3 linked regions of the Macaca fascicularis genome follow. The protein of the gene in region 1 interacts with the protein of each later gene in a pairwise test. Links are inferred from orthologs where the notes say so. Each region holds a gene or a part of one and is shown in the gene's direction. Other genes may lie near its edges.

What was found. The genes of interacting proteins can lie anywhere in the genome.
Region 2: the proteins of FHL3 (region 1) and SAP30BP interact in binary tests that used the Homo sapiens proteins (3 or more experiments, as listed by UniProt). The two-hybrid records come from large-scale screens. The link is inferred for Macaca fascicularis from reciprocal best matches to the Homo sapiens genes FHL3 and SAP30BP.
Region 3: the proteins of FHL3 (region 1) and HIPK1 interact in binary tests that used the Homo sapiens proteins (3 or more experiments, as listed by UniProt). The two-hybrid records come from large-scale screens. The link is inferred for Macaca fascicularis from reciprocal best matches to the Homo sapiens genes FHL3 and HIPK1.

Annotation. Positions count from the first base shown.
Region 1 is NC_088375.1:196,914,349-196,921,815, forward strand, and holds the end of FHL3 (four and a half LIM domains protein 3), read left to right. Parts: intron 1-2,131; 5' UTR 2,132-2,151; coding exon 2,152-2,307; intron 2,308-2,415; coding exon 2,416-2,590; intron 2,591-3,427; coding exon 3,428-3,597; intron 3,598-3,689; coding exon 3,690-3,876; intron 3,877-4,000; coding exon 4,001-4,155; 3' UTR 4,156-4,795; downstream 4,796-7,467. UniProt on the Homo sapiens protein: Recruited by SOX15 to FOXK1 promoters where it acts as a transcriptional coactivator of FOXK1.
Region 2 is NC_088390.1:82,106,320-82,113,582, forward strand, and holds part of SAP30BP (SAP30-binding protein), read left to right. Parts: intron 1-1,520; coding exon 1,521-1,612; intron 1,613-2,345; coding exon 2,346-2,406; intron 2,407-2,859; coding exon 2,860-2,911; intron 2,912-3,817; coding exon 3,818-3,876; intron 3,877-4,631; coding exon 4,632-4,712; intron 4,713-5,025; coding exon 5,026-5,110; intron 5,111-5,379; coding exon 5,380-5,561; 3' UTR 5,562-7,263. UniProt on the Homo sapiens protein: Plays a role in transcriptional repression by promoting histone deacetylase activity, leading to deacetylation of histone H3.
Region 3 is NC_088375.1:120,390,305-120,397,183, reverse strand, and holds part of HIPK1 (homeodomain-interacting protein kinase 1), read left to right. Parts: intron 1-1,413; coding exon 1,414-1,544; intron 1,545-2,599; coding exon 2,600-3,088; 3' UTR 3,089-6,879.

The DNA of each region.
Region 1 (7,467 bases):
AGAGACAGGTGGGCCTTGTTGGTGCCCTTTACTCTGTCCTCACCAGAGTCCAGCTGGATAGACTAGGGCATTGGGGGATTCTGGGAAGGAAATAGAAGCGATGCCCATACCCTATTTGGGTTACCCTGGTTTCTGAGTGCTGACTGTCTCCCAGGGGGTGGACCCAAGGCTAGCCTGGGCCTGAGAAGGTGGCAGCTGCAGTGGGCCAAGCCAAGAAGGAAGGAAGAGGCCCAGGCACCCCCCGTGGACACATTCCACCTGTGTGGCCCCCTGCTGCCCCGTGGCTGACAGCCCAGGCAATCCTCAGATGTTGGGCCAGAGGAAACCTGGGCCTGAGTGGCAGGAAAGGGGCTGAGAAAGAAGAGTATCTTCTCTACCCTTCACCGTAGCCCCCAGCCCAGGAGTTCCAGCTCTAAAGACCCTGGCCCCTGGTGGCCTCATACCCTGGCCTGAAGTGGGAGCTGGCTGTTCTCCCATTGCACAGAGGCTTGATGTATGGAGAGTCAGGCCTCCAAGCTGGGGGCGTCTGCTGGTGCCTGGAGTCTGAACTTCAAGCCAGAGCAGCGCTTTTTGTCAAGAATTTCGCACTGGGGGTGGATGAGAAAAGGAGGACTTTTCCTTCAGCTTGAGCCAGGGCAGGCCCTGGTGACTGCCAGCACTGGGGCCTTGTGGGAGAGTGGGTTGGTGGATTCCTTTGTGTGTCACTGTAACTTCCCCGGGCTCATCCACAGCTGTGAGAACATCTCCTTCCTATGGGTCCTGGTGGTTCCTCTCCACTAGCCCAGTATCCCAGCTCTTAGAGAGCAGGCTTCATGATAGAAGAGAGCAGGGGTGGGAGCTCTGACTTTGGGGCTAGTGACTGGAATCGGGCAGCAGAAAGGTTTGGGAACCCCACTTCCCTACCGCTCTACTCCCCAGGCTCCTGTTCCAGAGGCAGCTGTGTGGATGACCTCATCCCACAAACATGCTTTGTTCCTGAGAAAATGGAAAGTGTCTGAGGTTTGGTCGGGGGCTGGGTGTCTCCAGCAGCAGCTCTCAGGGCTCCCCCTTGTCCTACTCCCCACCCAAGATGGGGCCTGACTGGGGACAAAATGTCTTCACTGGCTCTTGCTGTCTCTGCTTTCAGCTCCCTAGTCCCAAACCCTGAGAAATCAGAAAAGGTGGGAGAGACCTTCTCTCCCAGAGGCAGTGGGAGGGAAATCATGACCCCAGGGGATGGAAAGATACTGGGGTTTTGCCAGATGCTAGCAGGAGGTGGCAGGGGGCACACTGCACTCTCAGTCTGTCTCCAGTTCCCCTCTGCCTCCCCCGACACTTCATTTTCCTTTTTTCTCCCCATTGCTGGCAAAACCTGACATCTGGCCATCTGTGCTGCCACAGCTGCTGCAGATGTTGCAGGCCAAGGCTGTCCAAGCCAGTGTGACCAGAGACACAGTGGGGGTAGGGGGATGAGGGCAGAGGGTCTAGCTGGGGAAGCCTGGTTGTGTCCAGCCTGCAGGATTTCCTTCCTGCTTGAGCCTCTTTGGCTGATGCCCCGGGAGGGAAGGCCTAACCTCTCACACTGGCCTCCTCCACCATTCATCAGTCCAGCACCTCTCTAGCATTCCACTGTTTTTTGGATCAGGAGGGGCTAGGAACAGCCCATTCCCATCTCTTAAGTTCCGTACTCCAGAGCTCTGGGTAAGGGTTCCTTGATCCATATTCCTAAAGTCCCGAGTCAGGAGAGGGTGGGAGTACTGCTCATCTGGAGTAGAGTGGGGTGGCTCCCTGCCCCTGCTTCTCCCACGCTGGGGACAGTCGGGACAGTGGAGGCTAAATGCTGGCTGAGGCAGGAAATGAGTCACCGACCCAGGAAAAGCCCCCTCCCCCTAGATCTGCTAGGGCCTAGATAAGAAAACAACTTCTGCTTCCTGGTTTTTTTTCTGACCTCTTTCTATCCCCAGTTAAATACAGAAAGAAACATGCGGGACTCCTGGTTTCCCGGAAGCACCCCTTCCCCATCACCACCTACTCTGAACTGGCATTTCCTATGCCGGGTCTGTTTCTGTGTTTTGAATGCAGAGGCCTATTTGCCAGGAGCCAAGTCACAGCCTCTCTGTGTGACCCCAGTTCCACCTTGTGCTCCTAACAGGGTTCTCTCTCCTTGCCACGATGAGCGAGTCATTTGACTGTGCAAAATGCAGCGAGTCCCTGTATGGACGCAAGTACATCCAGACAGACAGCGGCCCCTACTGTGTGCCCTGCTATGACAATACCTTTGCCAACACCTGCGCCGAGTGCCAGCAGCTTATCGGGCATGACTCGAGGGTAAGGAGAGGGCCAGGCCAGGCAGGAGGTGGGTGGTGACCAGTGGAAGGGGGCAAAGGATGGATCCACCAGGCCTGGGTGCCAGTGCCCCCGCTGTGTTCGCCACAGGAGCTGTTCTATGAAGACCGCCATTTCCACGAGGGCTGCTTCCGCTGCTGCCGCTGCCAGCGCTCACTAGCCGATGAACCCTTCACCTGCCAGGACAGTGAGCTGCTCTGCAATGACTGCTACTGCAGTGCGTTTTCCTCGCAGTGCTCCGCCTGTGGGGAAACTGTCATGCCTGGTATGTCCTCAGGGGCTCATCTTGTGTAAGAACTGGCATGCCTGGCATCTGCGTAGGGTCTTTGCATGTGTCTGTCTGATACATGGAGACTTGGTCTGTGTAAAGACCTGCACACACAGCATGTTTCTGGAAATTTAGTATATGCAGGATCTGTTTGCCTGGTATACTGGGGGTTACTATGTGCAGGCAGATTGACACATGTGATACATACTTGGGGGCTTAGCATGTGTGAGTATCTGCATGTTTAGTACATGTAGGAACTAGAGGTGTGCTGAGACTGTCGTGCTTATTGCATTGGGTCTTAGTGTGTGCAGAGGCAGGTAAACAGAGGGCTTAACATGTGTGGGGACCTGCATGCCTAATAGAAATGTTGGGACTCAGTACCTATGGAGAATGGTGTGCCAAGGAGATGCGAGGGCTTAGCATGTACTGAACCTGTCATGCCGAGGGCATTAGGGCATATACTTACTTGCCTGGTACATGTGGGGTCCCGTGTGAGTGCTGAAATCATCACATCTGTTATATGAGGGCTTAGCTCATAGTGAGACTTCATGACTGTTACATGGAGGCTCGATATGTGCTGAAATTGTCATTTCTGGGACATATGGGGGCTTAACATATGCCAAAATCCTCGTGTCTAGCTGGGTCATCATGTCCGGTGTCTGGGGAGAGGTTAGCATGTGTAATGTACATGGGGCAGGGGGGTTCTTGCTGCATGTGCACTGGACACCACCCTGCTCAGGCTGCGAGAGGAGTGGAGACTCCCGGGGAAGTTACAGAGGGTGGCCCTCAGGAGCATGGGACACAGCCTCTAAATGGGACCCCTGTTCCCCACAGGGTCCCGGAAGCTGGAGTACGGAGGCCAGACATGGCATGAGCACTGCTTCCTGTGCAGTGGCTGTGAGCAGCCGCTGGGCTCCCGTTCCTTTGTGCCCGACAAGGGTGCTCACTACTGCGTGCCCTGCTATGAGAACAAGTTTGCTCCTCGCTGCGCCCGCTGCAGCAAGGTGGGGGCTGGGCCAGCCAGGTGGGGGTGAGTAAGGCCTGTCGTGGGGTGGGAATCCCCACTCATACCTACTAATGAATGCTGCCCCCACAGACGCTGACACAGGGTGGAGTGACATACCGTGATCAGCCCTGGCATCGAGAATGTCTGGTCTGTACCGGCTGCCAGACGCCCCTGGCAGGGCAGCAGTTCACCTCCCGGGATGAAGATCCCTACTGTGTGGCCTGTTTTGGAGAACTCTTTGCACCTAAGTGCAGCAGCTGCAAGCGCCCCATCGTAGGTGGGACAAGGGTCAAAGAACGGAGTGGGTAGGGTGCAGGCAAGGGAATGGGATGTGGTATTGGGTGAAGTTGAGGGCCGGACCATCCCTAGATCTGCAGAGCTAACTTCCAGCCTCCCTCCAGGACTCGGTGGAGGCAAGTATGTGTCCTTTGAAGACCGACACTGGCACCACAACTGCTTCTCCTGCGCCCGCTGCTCTACCTCCCTGGTGGGCCAAGGCTTCGTGCCGGATGGAGACCAAGTGCTCTGCCAGGGCTGTAGCCAGGCAGGGCCCTGAGCCAGGCTCCTGGACCCAGGCTTTCCCATACCACGGGCCCAGGACTGTAGCTCCTTTTCTAAACCACCTCTGGGACTTAGCCCCACCCCCCAACCAAAAAAAATGGGTCGCCCTCTGGGCTCCAGGATTGTTTCTCCACGCCAGCATCCCCAAACTGGTACTCCCTGACCCAGGCCCCCAAACCTGGGCTCTTATAGAGCCTCCATGAGTCAAGCTGCCTCCCCACACCTGGACTCCAGAACTCACCCTCTCCCCTGCAGTCTGGGTTCCCAGACTGAGTCCTCTCCCCAAATCAGGGCTCTAGACCCCAGCCCTCCAAACCTGGGCTCTGGGACTTAGGCCCCCTTAAATCTAGACTTCTCTTTATAGGTTTTAGGTCTCCTATGGGTGCCTGAGAAGTCCTCAAAAGTGGACTGTTCTCAAGCTTGACCTGCCCCACCCCATCCCCCCGGGGCTGAGGCTGTGGGGACAGCGATCAGGGGCCCACCGATGAGGGGGCCCTAGGGTACAGGGTGCTGCCCAGCTGGTGGCCACCGAGTGTCTTCTCATTTTATTTCAGCTCCATTTTGCCCATAGATGGGCAGAGGGGTGAGATTGGCTCACCCCCCTTCCAGATTCTGCAATAAAGCGGTGTGAGGAAGCAGGGGCCTCCGTGTGTGCCTCTGTGTGTGTGTGTGTGCGCGCGTGCGCGCGCAGGGTATAAAGGGGAAGGAAGGGTTTTTGCAGACTGGGAGGCTCAGAATCTCTTCTAGACCTCGTCCTTGCAGGGCGGGGTGGAGGGGGGCCGGGCCACGGGGTGGGAAGTCTCTCCCCATGAAGGGGATCCCCGCCACGGCTACCGTCCCTCTGGAGCTCGGCCTGCCTCCCTGCTGGCAGAGGGCTTTTTCCTCCATGCAGGGAAGGGAGGGGTTTGGGGGAGGTTCCAGACGAAAGCGAGGGTGGCGATGGGGTGCCTTAATTGGCTGGTACCAATAGTCCCCTCCGCCAACAGCCCTTCCCAAAGCCCGCAGAGCAAGGACCCGGTTCCGATCCCCAGTCTGGGCCTAGACCCTCTCAGCCCCCTTCCCCCTCTTCCCAAGGATTAACGAGGGCGGCCCGGGATCCGCTCGCGACCGCACGTTTTTTGCCAAAAAAGGCAAGGATGCAGCTGCACACGCCACGGGAACATCTGGATCCGATTCCCGGCATGAATGGGTCACGCCCCGTCCCACCCCCCCCAACAGTGATTCAAGTCAAGGGTGGAGGCGGGAATGAGCGAGGGGGGCTGTCCCCCAAAGTGGGGAGATGGGCGGGGCGACGCTCCCCTCGCCTGGCGTCCGATGCCCCTTGTGCCAGACCCTGGCGTCCGCGGTCTGGGCCTGGCAGTCCGGCTCTCCGGGCAGGTACGCGCACACAGTGGCGCCCACAGCTGCCTGCGGCGGGGCCCGGCCCTGGGCAGGCGGACCCTCGGCGCCCTGGAGTAGGGGGGCCCCTCCGGCCCAGCGGAAACCGCGAGATTGTATGTATCGCGTATTAAATCCTCCCCGAAATCCTGTGGGGGGGCATTATTACTGCCATTACACAGAAGTGGAGACGCGCGCAGTCAGCTGCCCCAAGTCACATAGGTAGTCACTGGTAGATCCTGGGCTCCAATCGCTTTCTGAAGCCGTGGTTGACATTTTCCTTTTTCTTTCTTTTTTTTTTTAATTTTACTTTAAGTTCCAGGACACGTGTGCAGAACGTGCAGGTTTGTTAGATAGGTATACGTCTGCACGGCAGTTTGCTGCACCTATTGACCCGCCCTCTAAGTTCCCTCCCCGACATTTTCTTTTTTTTGTTTTTTGAGTCGGAGTTTCTCACTTGTCACCCAGGCTGGAGTGCAGTGGCGCGATCTCGGCTCACCGCAACGTCCGTCTCCCAGGTTCAAGTAATTCTTCTGCCTCAGCCTCCCTAGTAGCGGGATTTACAGGCATGTGCCACCAAATGCTGCTAATTTTGTATTTTTAGTAGATGGGGTTTCATCATGTTGGCCAGGCGGGTCTGCAACTCCTGAGCTTAAGTGATCCACCCGCCTTGGCCTCCCAAAGTGCTGGAATTATAGGCGTGAGCCACCACGCCCGACCCAGGGTTGTTTTTGTAAACATTTTTAGTAGAGACAGGGTTTCTCCATGTTGGTCAGGCTAGTCTCGAACTCCCGACCTCAAGTGATCCGCCCACCTCGGGCTCCCAAAGTGCTGGGATTACAGGCGTGAGCCACTGCGCCCCACCCTCCCCGACATTTTCAGGAAACCTTTATGAATGCCTACCACGTGTGTTTATACTTAATAATTACCATATAGGCTTACGGTTTTGTTTCTCTCTCCCACCAGCCTAAATAAGGACTGAGATCCTGCCTGCCTTGCACCCGCCTCGTTCTCAGCTCCTGGCACTTACTATGTGTTCAATAAATACTTGTTGAGGAAGAGCAGTCCAAGCATAGAAAACAACTGGTGCAAAGGCCTGGAGGTCTGAGAACATACGGTGCTTTGGGGAAGTAGCAAGTAATTCCATTTGGAGGAAGTGCCAGGAGAGTAAAATGGCAGGCAGAGCCCAGGTCCTTAAAAGCTGAATGCCAAGTTGCACAGACCTCACCCTGCAGGAAATGCAGCCTATGGAACTGTTTAAGCAGGGGCCTGGGGTGAGCGGAGTTGTAGAAAGATCATGCTGGCTGCAGCATGAATAATGGAGTGGAGGGGTAAGATGAGCAGGCTGGTTTGGAGGCCAGTTTAGTGGTCCAGGTGAGACAGCTTGCAGCAGGTAGCAGCTCGAATGGAAAAGGCAAGACTTACTGCCTGGAGTGGGGATGGAGAAACATTTAGGGGCAGAAAGGCATCAGGTTTGAGACAGAGTGACTGGAGGATGGTGGTGGTAAGGCAGTCCACCCACCTCACGGGAAGTAAGAGATGTACAGCCACGAAACTGTTTGATTTATTTCAATACAAACATTTTTCAGACTTAACATCTTAGAAACCCAGACATATAATCAAGGCCAGGCGCAGTGGCTCACGCCTCCCAGCACTTTGGGGGGCCGAGGCGGGTGGATCACCTGAGGTCAGGAGTTTGAGACCAACCTGGATAACATGATGAAGCCCCACCTCTTCTAAAAATACAAAAATTAGCTGGGTGTGGTGGTGGGCACCTGTAATCCCAGCTACTCCAGAGGTTGAGGCAGGAGAATTACTTGAATCCGGAGGTGGAAGTTGCAGTGAGCCAAGATTGCGCCACTGCACTCCAGCCTGGGGGACAAGAGCAAAACTCCATCTTAAAAAAAGAAGAAACCCAGACGTATAATCA
Region 2 (7,263 bases), on another chromosome or scaffold:
TGTCCTAAACGCTGTCACCTGGGCCCTCCAGGCCTGCCCGCCCGCTTTGCTGGCACAGTGCCTCAGGTGTTTCCCTTCTGGAGAATCTCTGTTTAAGCCCCACTGCAGGGGGAGGCTGCAGGTAGATCTTGCCCTGGACCAGTGCCCGCCTTCCTGGCTGAGACTGCTCTTACCAGAGGTGGCTCTGGTGTCTTGGCCCTCTTCATTGGCACTGGGCCATGCTGATGCCATCTACTTTGGGCATCATGTCCATGGGCTGGGGAGGACCCCCTTCCTGAGGACGCCTGTGGCACTGGCCGCAGTAGGTCAGCCTGCATCCCCCGTGGTGGTTCTCCACTCTCCCACTGAGAGCCAGGCATGACCTGTGGGGAATTTGGGTGAGAGAGAAGCAGTTAACCCTTGATACCCTCGATAAGCCAGCGCGGACCAGCCACCTGTGCGCCTCCCTGTAAAAGACACAATCTAAAAAGCTTGCAAGACCGAATCCAAACAACTACTCCTGCCTCCCATGAAAAGGCCATAGCCCTTCCGAAGTCTCCTGTGGTTCACAGTTCTGCTGAGGACTTGACCTCATGTTAAAATTTAAAACCAGGATTCATTCCCTGCATATCAACACCAGTACCCTACACCCTGCTTCGGATGATTCTGGAACTGATTAACCAATTGGGGCTTTGTTCATTTTTTTCTCCGTGGCTCCTCTGCTGTGATCTTTTCACTGCTCACTATATTGTCATCCAGAGAGTGTCAGGAAACCTCAGCAGTGAAAGCAGCCTGGTCTTGGTTTATGTTACTTGTGTGCAATTCTGGGCAAAAGGTAGGGTGGAAAAAGAGAATAGGTTAATTTTTTGTTTCGTGTTTTTGAGAGAGTCTCACTCTGTTACCAGGCTGGAGTGCAGTGGCATGATCTCAGCTCACTGCAATGTCCACCTCCCAGGTTCAAGCGATTCTCCTGCCTCAGCCTCCCAAGTAGCTGGGATTACAGGCGTGCCCCACCACACCCAGCTAATGTTGTTTGTGTTTTTAGTAGAGACGAGGTTTCATGTTGGCCAGGATGGTCTCAATCTCTAGACCTTGTGATCCACCCACCTTAGCCTCCCAAAGTGCTGGGATTACAGGCGTGAGCCACTGCGCCCGGCTGAGAATAGGTTAAATTCTCCGCCTTCTGGGTTCACGCCATTCTCCCGCCTCAGCCTCCCAAGTAGCTGGGACTACAGGTGCCTGCCACCATGCCTGGCTAATTTTCTGTGTTTTTAGTAGAGATGGGGTTTCACCGTGTTAGCCAGGATGTTCTCGATCTCCTGACCTCGTGATCCACCCGCCTTGGCCTCTCAAAGTGCTGGGATTACGGGCATGAGCCACCGCGCCCGGCCAAGAATAGGTTAAATTTTAACATGAGGTCAAGTTGGGCTTTGCGTGGCTCTGGAGCCTCACGTTCATGCTGCACACGTAGCTGGTGACCAGGGGCTGGGATGGTGGAGAGGTGGGCTTCTGTCATACACCCCTCTGCTCCTCTTCCATAGGACAAGATCCAGAAGCTTTATGAACGAAAAATAAAGGAGGGAATGGATATGAACTACATTATCCAAAGAAAGAAAGAATTTCGGAACCCCAGGTAAGTTTCTCTTGAACCTGCAGAGTTTATTGAGTTATTAATGTTGGATTAAGGACGTCCCCAAGGAGGTGGTGAGGAAAAGCCCTGAGCCCAAACCATCACCCAGACTTGTCATTACACTGAGTGCCTGCTGGACACGGCAGACTATGCTAACCCAGCCAGAGGCTTGCCATTTAAGATCCTGACAAAACACAAAGCAGTCCATACCGAGACCTAGACGGGGATGAGGGAGACCTGGCTGAGTTCTCGTCCCTGCTCTGAGCCTAAAGCACATGACCTCTCAAGACCCCTGTCCTCATGGAAGGAATTGGACTAGACAATTACTATAGGTTCATCTTTCAACTCTAAAAAGCTGATTTTTGCATATAGGTGAGAGGTCTTAGGACCAGAGCTATGTCTGGTCTTATTCCATTTAATGCTCAAGCTAGTGACTTACGGGGGAAAGAGCATGGCCCTTGTGTGGGCCTGAGTGTGGTGAGCCCAACCCAACCATGCAGACTGAAGGTCAGTGGGACAAAACTCAGCCATCACCTTGACCCCATGCTCCTCCCGGCCCTTAGTTAACAGGTCCATCTCCCTGGGAGGGTGTAGGGCCATCAGGAAGCTTGCTTAGAGCAGCTGAGCTGGATTTAAAGGTTTTGAAGGTTTTGTGTCAGCCCCAGGAGCTGGATGGTTCAGGCCCCAGGCAGGGACGTGGACTTGTGCCTGCTCAACGCCTGTGCTGTTTTTTCAGCATCTACGAGAAGCTGATCCAGTTCTGTGCCATTGACGAGCTTGGCACCAACTACCCAAAGGTACATCTGGCACACGGAGCTGGAGGGTGATGGGGACACCCGGGGTCCTGTGCTTGTTCCATGGGGTTTGACCTGCAGCCACAGAAGGGTCCATGTAGTGGCACCGCTAGTTGAAAGCACAGTCCCCATGTCTTGTGTTTGAGTCCCTATTGTTCTGAAATAGTCCAATAAAGAGATTCCAGTGGCCGACCTGGTGTCTGGCCCCTGACTGGTGGGGACATGTGTGGACCTGCTGCTCCTGGGGGTCACTGGATGGGGGCTTCATGCTCCCGTGTTCTTCAGCACTTGCCAGCTGCCCCTTGGCTAGAGACCAGGGATGACAGCCGAGCCCCAGGTAAGGGGACCCCAGACCAGGAAGCTCTGTGGAAAGACTCAGGCAAGGAACTTGGGTTTCTGAGTCATTTGTCATATGACGGTTCCTACTAACTGCAACTTTCGCCTTTTCCTTTGCAGGATATGTTTGATCCCCATGGCTGGTCTGAGGACTCCTACTATGAGGCATTAGGTAGCCTTTCATCCCTCCTCCCATATACCTCGTCCGCCCACCCAACTGTCCCTTTATCCAGTCAGTTGGTTATCCAGGCAACACGTATTTCAGGGTCTCCTTTACGTCAGGCCATGTTCAAGGGGCTGGGTACAGGCCTGAATGAGACAGACCCACCCCTGCCTTAAGAGGCTTATGCCACAGCAAAGAAGATGCCAGTAATGCATCACGCCAGTAATGCCAGCATCGATGAAGTGTTGGTGATGACAGAGTTGCTGGGTACAGGGGAGCTTTGGCAAGCAGGGTCATCTAATCTGGCCAAAGGGATGGGAAGGTCTCACTGACAAAACTGTGTTCCAGCTGAGGTTTGAAGAGGCAGAGGGGCCAGGCAGGTGCAGGCAGAATGTTCCGAGGCCAGTGAGAGGGTGGCTTATTCTTAAGGTACCAGTTTGGGAGAACTGGGAGGAATGTCAAAGGGCCCAACCCCTAGACCATAGGTCTTGAGCCTGTAGCCCATGGCCCAGATCTTGGCCTGTAGAGGTGCTTTGTTTGGCCTTCATGAATGTTACTGTCTTTTATTTTGAATTCATTGCCAACATTTTACATAATAATCTCTGATTCCAGCTTCTCTCAGTCAGTAGCAAGGTAGTCCCCATTGGGCCTGTATTTCCGTGTGCGGCAGTCCACAGGAGCTCAGGAGTAGCTGACCCTTCCAGACACAGACACGGGGCATGCAGCCCTCCAGTCTGGAGCTGAAGGCCCCTGCCCTACGCCAAGCAAGGGCTGGCTTCATTTTGCCTAGCACGAAGAACACTGAGCCCATGAAGACCTTTAGCCCACTGAAAAGAACGCAGGGATCAGAGTCGGCTCCCTCAGCCCAGAGCTGCTCAGGGGCCGCCTTTGTAACAGCTTCTCTTGTCTTCATAGCCAAGGCCCAGAAGATTGAGATGGACAAATTGGAAAAGGCCAAAAAGGAGCGAACGAAAGTAAGTGATGGCAGACCTCCTAGATGGAAAAGGCAGATGTGAAGTGCATGGGTCCTGCTGGCTGAGCCCAGAGGTTGTCCAGGCTGCCCCCCGCCCTGGCCCCATGTCAGGGCACAGGCCCTGCTCTGGGTTTGCGGTGCTCGCCTGCTGCCTTGCCCTTGGAGTCTTGCTTGCTGCGTTGTGACCCCCTTCCTCCCCTCAATTGCAGAACCTTGGGAGGCTTTGTCTATTTTGGGTCGTGGGTGCCCTCTGTGGCCTGAAGGGAGGGAAGTAATTCCCTAAGAGAGTGCCGGGCCCAGCTTGCTCTGCTCAGTGAGTTTCTTGGCCTCCAGAGCTGCCCTCGGTGGCCCGCCTGGTTGCTACCTATTAGGTCCCATGTTAGGGCCCTGAGCGCCACTTGTTCCCCAGCAGTGTGGTCTGGGTTCTTCAGGGAGCATCAGTTTGGCTGTGAGACCAAAGTGTTATCTCTGGGCCTTGTTCCCTTTGTGACCAGTCTCGGAGCCAGGCATCAGGACACCAGCTCCTCCCACGTCTGGCTCGGCCTGACCATCCTCAAGTAGCTGCGGCCTCCAGACTGCTTCCCTCACCCCAGGCAGAGGGGCTCTGGGGCCTGGGCATGCTGGTGGCCCTCTGGAGTCACTGGCTGCTGGGCCAGGAACGTGGGAGCTGGTGCAAGGGGATAATCGGGGTTTCTCATTCTTAACCCTTGATTGAATCTCCCTTCTCTCTCTTTCCCTCTCCCTTCCAAACCCCAGGCTTGTTGCAGGGACGTGTCTGCAGCGCCTGGGGACCGGAGCTGTCCTTCCCCTGTGCGGGCGGGCGCCGCCTCCTCCTGGGTGTGAGGAGGAGGGGCCTGGCCAAACGGTTCTGGGCATGTGAGGTGGGGCGGTGGGCCGGGGGTGCCGGGCATGTGCAGAGACCTGGTGATGCCGGGAGGGATCCAGTACTGTTTGGAAAGTTCTTTTAAGAGCGAAAAGCCCCTTTGGGTTCTTAGACACCTCACCCTCCCCCAGATGGTCAGAGCAGAGTTCATTTCCAATACCTCTTTTGTGTAGTGCCAAGCTCCTGTCCCCCAGGAGCTGACGGATGGCAAAAGGCTATGGACACCCAGCTTTGCCCAGCCTCATTCTCTTCCCTCTCCCTCTCCAGATTGAGTTTGTGACGGGCACCAAGAAAGGCACCACGACCAACGCCACGGCCACCACCACTACCACTGCCAGCACAGCTGTTGCAGGTAGATTGCAGAGCTGCCCTGCCTCCCTGCCTCCTGCCATACACACGGAGCCAGTGTCTCCCTGGCTAGTTTGGGCAACAGACAACACGTGGATCTAGGCCTAGGCTCAGCCTTGCTCTTTTCTAAGCAGGGACTTTGAGAACCAGCTTTGGAGTCTTGGGGGGGCCCCTTCGGTTTCTGCTCCCTAGGCCCGTGCTGGCCTGCAGGGGAAGGGAAGGAGAGCGCTGCTCATTAGTGGATCGCGATCCTGACTTCTGCTTTATCTCCAGATGCTCAGAAGAGAAAGAGCAAGTGGGACTCGGCTATCCCAGTGACGACGATAGCCCAGCCCACCATCCTCACCACTACAGCCACCCTGCCAGCTGTCGTCACGGTCACCACCAGCGCCAGCGGCTCCAAGACCACCGTCATCTCTGCTGTGGGCACCATTGTGAAGAAGGCCAAGCAGTGACCTGAGGGGCCACCCTAGGACTCGAAAGGACTGTGCAGCCCAGTGACCACTGCCCAGTGGGAGGCGCCACTTTGTATATTTCAGGATTGGGACCTGCTCCCCTGATGCCACCTGAGAGGAGCTTCTATGTGGCATTCCAGACAGAAGGACAGGCAGCACAGGAGCCAGGTGCTGTGGACAGGGTCTGTCCACGCACCACCTGGGGTCTGCCGCCCATTAAAAGTGCCATTTTCTTACCTCTTGGCATCTCAGATGCACTGGCCTCTCCTGCATTCTGTTTGCAGGCAAATGCTTCAGCTCACACGTCCCCCCATCTTGGTTGGGACTGCTGCCTCAGGGTTGACGATAGGGTGATGGAGGCCTGGGACGCCGTTCAGAGGGGTAGCCCAAGAAGTCACCGTTGTTACCCGTGTACGCCTCTGGACATGGACAGGCGGGACCCCCCCAAGCTCCACGTTCGCTCCATGTGCCGCCTGGATCCCAAAACCCAGCCAGTTCTTGGGTGATGGTGGAGCTGTGCTCCCTTGGGTGCATTTGAGCACTCCCCAGTCCAGATCACTTCTTGGACACACCCAGGCTTTTGAAGTCAAGCCAGTTTCCAGAAGGGCTGGGGTGAGATCCTGACCTGTGCAGGGAGTAGGGAGGCGTCAGCGCCTGGCCAGGGCTGCCCCAGTCCCTCGGTGCCCCGTGAGCGCAGCCAGCCAGGAGCTGAGCAGCGGGGGCAGATGAATCACCTCCTGCCCTGGCCAGGCGGCAGCTCATTGTTTACGGGCAAGCCCTGCTCCTGGGAGGGCTCCTGCCACCCCACCCTTCCTGTGCGTGTTATCTCTGCCCCACAGCAGCCCCTGGGCAGCGCCAGTGGCCACTGGGCTCCCCCCGGGGCTGAAACGGGTTTCCCAGACCGGGAGTCCAGAGGAGACTGTTTACCCTTCGTGACCTTTGGCGACTCTCCACTGGAGCGGAAGAGCTGTGTGTCAAAAGAAGGAAGCCGGGCTGTGAAGGGCCGTGTTGCTTTCAGTCGGTGGGCAGAGGTTTAGAAAGGTGGTTCTGAAACTGCACCTGGTACTCTTGTGGGACCTGAGGAATATAAGGAACTCTGTGCATGAGGTTTCAAAAATAAAAATTGAGTCCACTCCCCCCATACACACACTCGGCCACTTCAGCAGGTCAGGTCTCAGCACTTCCTTGATGGGGCTTTGAAGCTCTGGGGAGCAGAGCCGCTCCCCACTCATGCCCCAGAGGGGCTCTGAAAAGGCTTCCTGTGGCCTCCGACAGGGGCCCCTCATTAGCCAAGGACGCTGTGGGTGTTTTGTGGGAGGCACCGTGGCGCTGCGGAAAGGGCAGTGGACGTGGAGCCGGCACCTCTGGCCAGATTCTGTTAAAACCAGTTGAGTGGTCTCAAACCCTTACCTCTGTAAGCCTGTTTCTTGTCTGAAAATCACGGTCATAAAGCGTCGTAAGTTGGTTGGGAGGAACCAGAGGTGACTTACGCAAAAGCTTTATAAACTGTAAAGTTCCTGCCAGTGTTTGTTGTTGGCTAAATCCAATTTTGTTTTGTTGTAGACCGAGGAGAGAAGCAAACTGGCCTGTTCCCCGTCTCATGCTCTGTCAGGGAGGATGGGGTTTGGCAGGTCTTTCCCCTACCCGCTTTCCTCTGGGCAGCCCCGGCCCTGCCATTTATCTGTTCAGTTAAAGCAGTAAT
Region 3 (6,879 bases), about 77 Mb from region 1:
AGAAACACATTCAGTGCTGATGGGAGAAAGCAGACAAGACCTGTGATATTGCCAGAAGTATTAGGCAATTAGGTTTGCCATAGATGATTTGAATTTGGCAATCGAGATGTAGACAGGACTTGATAATACTGAAAATGACTACAAAAGTGTTTTGGAAAACAGTTATATTCTTAAGATTTTTTTTCTCACCCAGTGTCATAGCAGTGATGCTTTTGTTGGTTTTATTACCAACCCAATTACTTCCATCTTCTTTGCTCTGATAGATACTGGACTTAGGCTCCCTGGTTCAGTTATTGTGTTAGTTGGGTAATAGCTGCAGTAACAAATCCTAGATTTTTATAGCATAACATAGTACAAATTTACTTCTCTCTCATATAACTTCTTGGTACAAGTGTTTGATTCCTGAGCATCCAGTCAGAAGGAGAAAGTTTGAAGGAGGCACACACATGTTTTAATCTCTTTAGCCTGGATATAAGTGGAAATAGTGAATACTTCTCACATGGCCCCACCTAGATGCAAGTGAGCCAGGCAATGTAGTCTTGTCAAGGTAGCTGCTTTTCAGTGACAACTTCATACCAAGAAAGGGGTTGGTGAAGTTTAGGTATCAACATAAACCTGGGCCATACCTGTAAAAATTATGTTTTATTGTGTATTATCTTACTGCCATAGACGTAAACAGGGTTATAATTTGAGGGTATTGTGTTACGCCTCTGTGTGATTCTTTTCAGAAGTAGACAGTTGTCCCATTGCAGACAAGGGAGAGAGCTTCCTGATGCCAGGCTACTGAACAGAATTATTAGGACCTCCATGCGCTCTTGGGTCCAGAGAATATAGGCTATCACATGAAACACTGAATAGATGCTCTGGTTTTCCTAATGGGAACACAGAAGCAAGCAAAATTTCACATTCAGCTGTCCTGTAATTTCTTAGAATTTGAAGCCAGTTAAGTGCCCAAGATATAAGTTTGCCTTTTTTTAAACCCTCTTGACACTTTAATATCCTAAGAATTACCAATAGCTTTCTCAGCTTCATATTGTCATTTCTGTGCTTGTTTAATCCCTTCCTACATAAAACTATAAACTCTTAGAGAGAGGGACGGTGTCTTAGCATATTTGTATTTCCAGTCCTTCCTTGTATATAACAATATTATATTATTGTATATAATCAATATTATAATATTTATAATATTGATTTAAGTGAACAAATCTCCTATGTGGAGATTTGTGCCAAGACAGAAAAGAAATGGGTGATACAGGTTATTTTCTTCTGGGGTAAATAGAATTGAGGAATTAAGACATACATGAGACCTTAACGCTTGCAAACTGCATACAAATGTGGACTAATTAATATGATGCCATCTGAGGTTAGCTCAGTGATGTCTACTCATAACTATTAAGCTTGATGCTTTTTTAGGTCTCCTGAGCAATAAGACCAAGCCAGTAGCTTCAGTGAGTGGGCAGTCATCTGGATGCTGTATCACCCCCACAGGGTATCGAGCTCAACGCGGGGGGACCGGTGCAGCACAGCCACTCAACCTTAGCCAGGTAAGCGCTACGGGCTACTGCCTTCTCTTTGGGCCTTGCACTGTTGTTACTTTCTGGAGAACCCTGCTTCTGGCTGGATGCTGAATAAAGCCAAATGAAGCCCCTTTTGTGTCAAACAATTTTGTGTTCTATGGCTTACGTCGTACCGCATGTGCTGCATCTCATCATTCACTTTTTGTGTTTGGGATGTACATTCTAGGTTTTCCATCAAACCTCCCTAAGTCTACCATGGAAGGTTAGAGAAACGTCTGGGATTTAGAAAGAGCGTGGGAAGTTTAACCATGTCAGTGATAGGCGTATGCTTTGAGACCAGATTCTCTTTATCCCTCAGGCCATAAGTAAGCTGATCCTTACCTTGTTTACTTGAGTCAAGAGACTGAAAAGCTCACTGGCCACCAAATTCAACTGGTTCTAGGTCCTGCTTGTTGCTGAAGTCTGGGATTTGGGACTTCCCCACTCTCCGAACATCCCCTGCCCCAACCCACCCTTCTACTTCTCTCATTACTTTATTTGTGTTCATTCTTGGAGGCTAAAATTCAAGTGCTTGTATGATGTCCACCAGTAGTGAGAAAGTTCAATATGAGAGAGAGAGTGTGAGAGCACATGCAAGTGAAAATGTAAGTTTGAGTTAGTGTATATATTTTAGGCTCCACATTTCAAGAGGGGTATGAAGAACTTAGAGGAGAAGAACAAAAGAAAGCAATGGTAAGAAATAAAGGTTAGGAAAAATTCAAATTTACTGATGCCAGAATAGGGTGAGTTGAGTCACCAGTTATTAAATTGCAGGAGTGGGGAACCCTGTGATCTCTTGATTCTCCCTCTTCCTGTCATACTTATAAGCAAACTGCTGTTACCTGAGCCAGGTTAGGATCTATCTTGCTAAGAGGCAGAGGGAGGGGTGGCTGATTTCTGACAGCATTCAATGCCAGTCTGGGAGATTATGTGTTATATACCCATTCGGAAACAGTACAAGTCAGGACCTGAGCTCTTAACTTGGCCTTTCGTGCCCTGAACCAGAGTGACCTCAAGATTCCTCACTTCCTTCTTTCTTCCAGAACCAGCAGTCATCGGCGGCTCCAACCTCGCAGGAGAGAAGCAGCAACCCAGCCCCCCGCAGGCAGCAGGCGTTTGTGGCCCCTCTCTCCCAAGCCCCCTACACCTTCCAGCACGGCAGCCCACTACACTCGACGGGGCACCCACACCTTGCCCCAGCCCCTGCTCACCTGCCAAGCCAGGCTCATCTGTATACGTATGCTGCCCCCACTTCTGCTGCTGCACTGGGCTCAACCAGCTCCATTGCTCATCTTTTCTCCCCACAGGGTTCCTCAAGGCATGCTGCAGCCTATACCACTCACCCTAGCACTTTGGTGCACCAGGTCCCTGTCAGTGTTGGGCCCAGCCTCCTCACTTCTGCCAGCGTGGCCCCTGCTCAGTACCAACACCAGTTTGCCACTCAGTCGTACATTGGGTCTTCCCGAGGCTCAACAATTTACACTGGATACCCGCTGAGTCCTACCAAGATCAGCCAGTATTCCTACTTATAGTTGGTGAGCATGAGGGAGGAGGAGTCATGGCTACCTTCTTCTGGCCCTGAGTTCTTAATATTGGGCTATGGTGAGATCCTCCTTTACCCTCTTGAAACTTCTTAGCCAGCAACTTGTTCTGCAGGGGCCCACTGAAGCAGAAAGTTTTTCTCTGGGGGAACCTGTCTCAGTGTTGACTGCATTGTTGTAGTCTCCCAAAGTTTGCCCTATTTTTAAATTCTTTATTTTTGTGACAGCAATTTTGGTACTTGGAAGAGTTCAGATGCCCATCTTCTGCAGTTACCAAGGAAGAGAGATTGTTGTGAAGTTACCCTCTGAAAAATATTTTGTCTCTCTGACTTGATTTCTATAAATGCTTTTAAAAACAAGTGAAGCCCCTCTTTATTTCATTTTGTGTTATTGTGATTGCTGGTTAGGAAAAATGCTGATAGAAGGAGTTGAAATCTGATGACAAGAAAAGAAAAATCATTACTTTTTGTTTGTTTATAAACTCAGACTTACTTGCCTATTTTATTTTAAAAGCAGCTTACACAAGTCTGTGTTTTTACTATCAGGCATTTCTCCTCAAAATCTCATCTTCGTTTATTGGACATTTAAACTTACAGAGTTTCAGTTTTGTTTTAATGTCATATTATACTTAATGGGTAATTGTTATTTTTGCAAAACTGGTTACGTATTACTCTATGTTACTATTGGGATTCTCTCAATTGCTCCTGTGTGTGTTATAAAGTAGTGTTTAAAAGGCAGCTCACCATTTGCTGGTAACTTAATGTGAGAGAATCCATATCTATGTGAAAACACCAAGTATTCTTTTTAAATGAAGCACCATGAATTCTTTTTTAAATTATTTTTTAAAAGTCTTTCTCTCTCTGATTCAGCTTAAATTTTTTTATTGTAAAAGCCATTAAGGTGGTTATTATTATATGGTGGTGGTTGTTTTATTATATGCAAAATCTCTGTCTCTTATGAGATACTGGCATTGATGAGCTTTGCCTAAAGATTAGTATGAATTTTCAATATTACACCTCTGTGTTTTGCTCATCTCTCCCTTCTGTTTTATGTGATTTGTTTGGGGAGAAAGCTAAAAAAACCTGAAACCAGATAAGAACATTTCTTGTGTATAGCTTTTATACTTTAAAGTAGCTTCCTTTGTATGCCAGCAGCAAATTGAATGCTCTCTTATTAAGACTTATACAATAAGTGCATGTAGGAATTGCAAAAAATATTTTAAAAATTTATTACTGAATTTAAAAATATTTTAGAAGTTTTGTAATGGTGGTGTTTTAATATTTTACATAATTAAATATGTACATATTGATTAGAAAAATATAACAAGCAATTTTTCCTGCTAACCCAAAATGTTATTTGTAATCAAATGTGTAGTGATTACACTTGAATTGTGTACTTAGTGTGTATGTGATCCTCCAGTGTTATCCGGGAGATGGATTGATGTCCCCGTTGTATTTAAACCAAAATGAACTGATACTTGTTGGAATGTATGTGAACTAATTGCAAGTATATTAGAGCATATTACTGTAGTGCTGAATGAGCAGGGGCATTGCCTGCAAGGAGAGGAGACCCTTGGAATTGTTTTGCACAGGTGTGTCTGGTGAGGAGTTTTTCAGTGTGTGTCTCTTCCTTCCCTTTCTCCTTCCTTCCCTTATTGTAGTGCCTTATATGATAATGTAGTGGTTAATAGAGTTTACAGTGAGCTTGCCTTAGGATGGACCAGCAAGCCCCCGGGGACCCTAAGTTGTTCACGGGATTTATCAGAACAGGATTAGTAGCTGTGTTGTGTAAATGCATCGTTCTCAGTTTCCCTGCCAACATTGAAAAATAAAAACAGCAGCTTTTCTCCTTTACCACCACCTCTACCCCTTTCCATTTTGGATTCTCAGCTGAGTTCTCACAGAAGCATTTTCCCCATGTGGCTCTCTCACTGTGCATTGCTACCTTGCTTCTGTGAGAATTCAGGAAGCAGGTGAGAGGAGTCAAGCCAATATTAAATATGCATTCTTTTAAAGTATGTGCAATCACTTTTAGAATGAATTTTTTTTTCCTTTTCCCATGTGGCAGTCCTTCCTGCAAATAGTTGACATTCCTAGTAAAATATTTGCTTGTTGAAAAAACATATAACAGATGAGTTTATACCAAAGAGCCTATTGTATTGCTTACCATGTCCCCACACTATGAGGAGGAGTTTTATGGTGCCGCTGGTGACAAGGAGCTCACAGAAAGGTTTCTTAGCTGGTGAAGAATATAGAGAAGGAACCAAAGCCTGTTGAGTCATTGAGGCTTTTGAGGTTTCTTTTTTAACAGCTTGTAGAGTCTTGGGGCCCTTCAAGCTGTGAAATTGTCCTGGTACTCTCAGCTCCTGCACGGATCTGGGTCAAGTAGAAGGTACTGGGGATGGGGACATTCCTGCCCATAAAGGATTTGGGGAAAGAAGGTTAATCCTAAAATACAGGTGTGTTCCATCTGAATTGAAAATGATATATTTGAGATATAATTTTAGGACTGGTTCTATGTAGATAGAGATGGTGTCAAGGAGGTGCAGGATGGAGATGGGAGATTTCATAGAGCCTGGTCAGCCAGCTCTGTACCAGGTTGAACACCGAGGAGCTGTCAAAGTATTTGGAGTTTCTTCATTGTAAGGAGTAAGGGCTTCCAAGATGGGGCAGGTAGTCAGTACAGCCTACCAGGAACATGTTGTGTTTTCTTTATTTTTAAAAATCATTATATTGAGTTGTGTTTTCAGCACTATATTGGTCAAGATAGCCAAGCAGTTTGTATAATTTCTGTCACTAGTGTCATACAGTTTTCTGGTCAACATGTGTGATCTTTGTGTCTCCTTTTTGCCAAGCACATTCTGATTTTCTTGTTGGAACACAGGTCTGGTTTCTAAAGGACAAATTTTTTTGTTCCTTGTCTTTTTTCTATAAGGGACAAGATTTGTTGTTTTTGTAAGAAATGAGATGCAGGAAACAAAACCAAACCACATTCCTTCCCCTAGTCCAATAAGCAGATACCACTTAAGATAGGAGTCTAAACTCCACAGAAAAGGATAATACCAAGAGCTTGTATTGTTACGTTAATCACTTGACTAGCAGTGTGTGGCTTTAAAAACTTTAGAGATTTTTCAGTCTTAGTGTGCAAACTGGCATTTCCGATTTTCCAACATAAAAATCCACCTGTGTCTACTGAATGTGTATGTATGTGCTCAATGTGGCTTTAGATTCTGTCCCTGGGGCTTAACATTGTTGGCCCTGACAGGAAGGGAGGAAGCCCGGTGAATTTAGTGAGCAGCTGGCCTGGGTCACAGTGACCTGACCTCAAACCAGCTTAAGGCTTTAAGTCCTCTCTCTGAACTTGCATTTCCAGCTTCTTCCTTTCCAGGTGAGAGAAGAAGCGGGGAAGGGTTCATTGTAGCCACTCTGGGTTCATAGGGACACTTGGTCACTCCAGAGTTTTTAATAGCTCCCAGGAGGTGATATTATTTTCAGTGCTCAGCTGAAATACCAACCCCAGGAATAAGAACTCCGTTTCAAACAGTTCTGGCCATTCTGAGCCTGCTTTTGTGATTGCTCATCCATTGTCCTCCACTAGAGGGGCTAAGCTTGACTGCCCTTGGCCAGGCAAGCACAGTAATGTGTGTTTTATTCAGCATTATTATGCAAAAATTCACTAGTTGAGATGGTTTGTTTTAGGATAGGAAATGAAATTGCCTCTCAGTGACAGGAGTGGCCCGAGCCTGCTTCCTATTTTGATTTTTTTTTTTTTTAAACTGATAG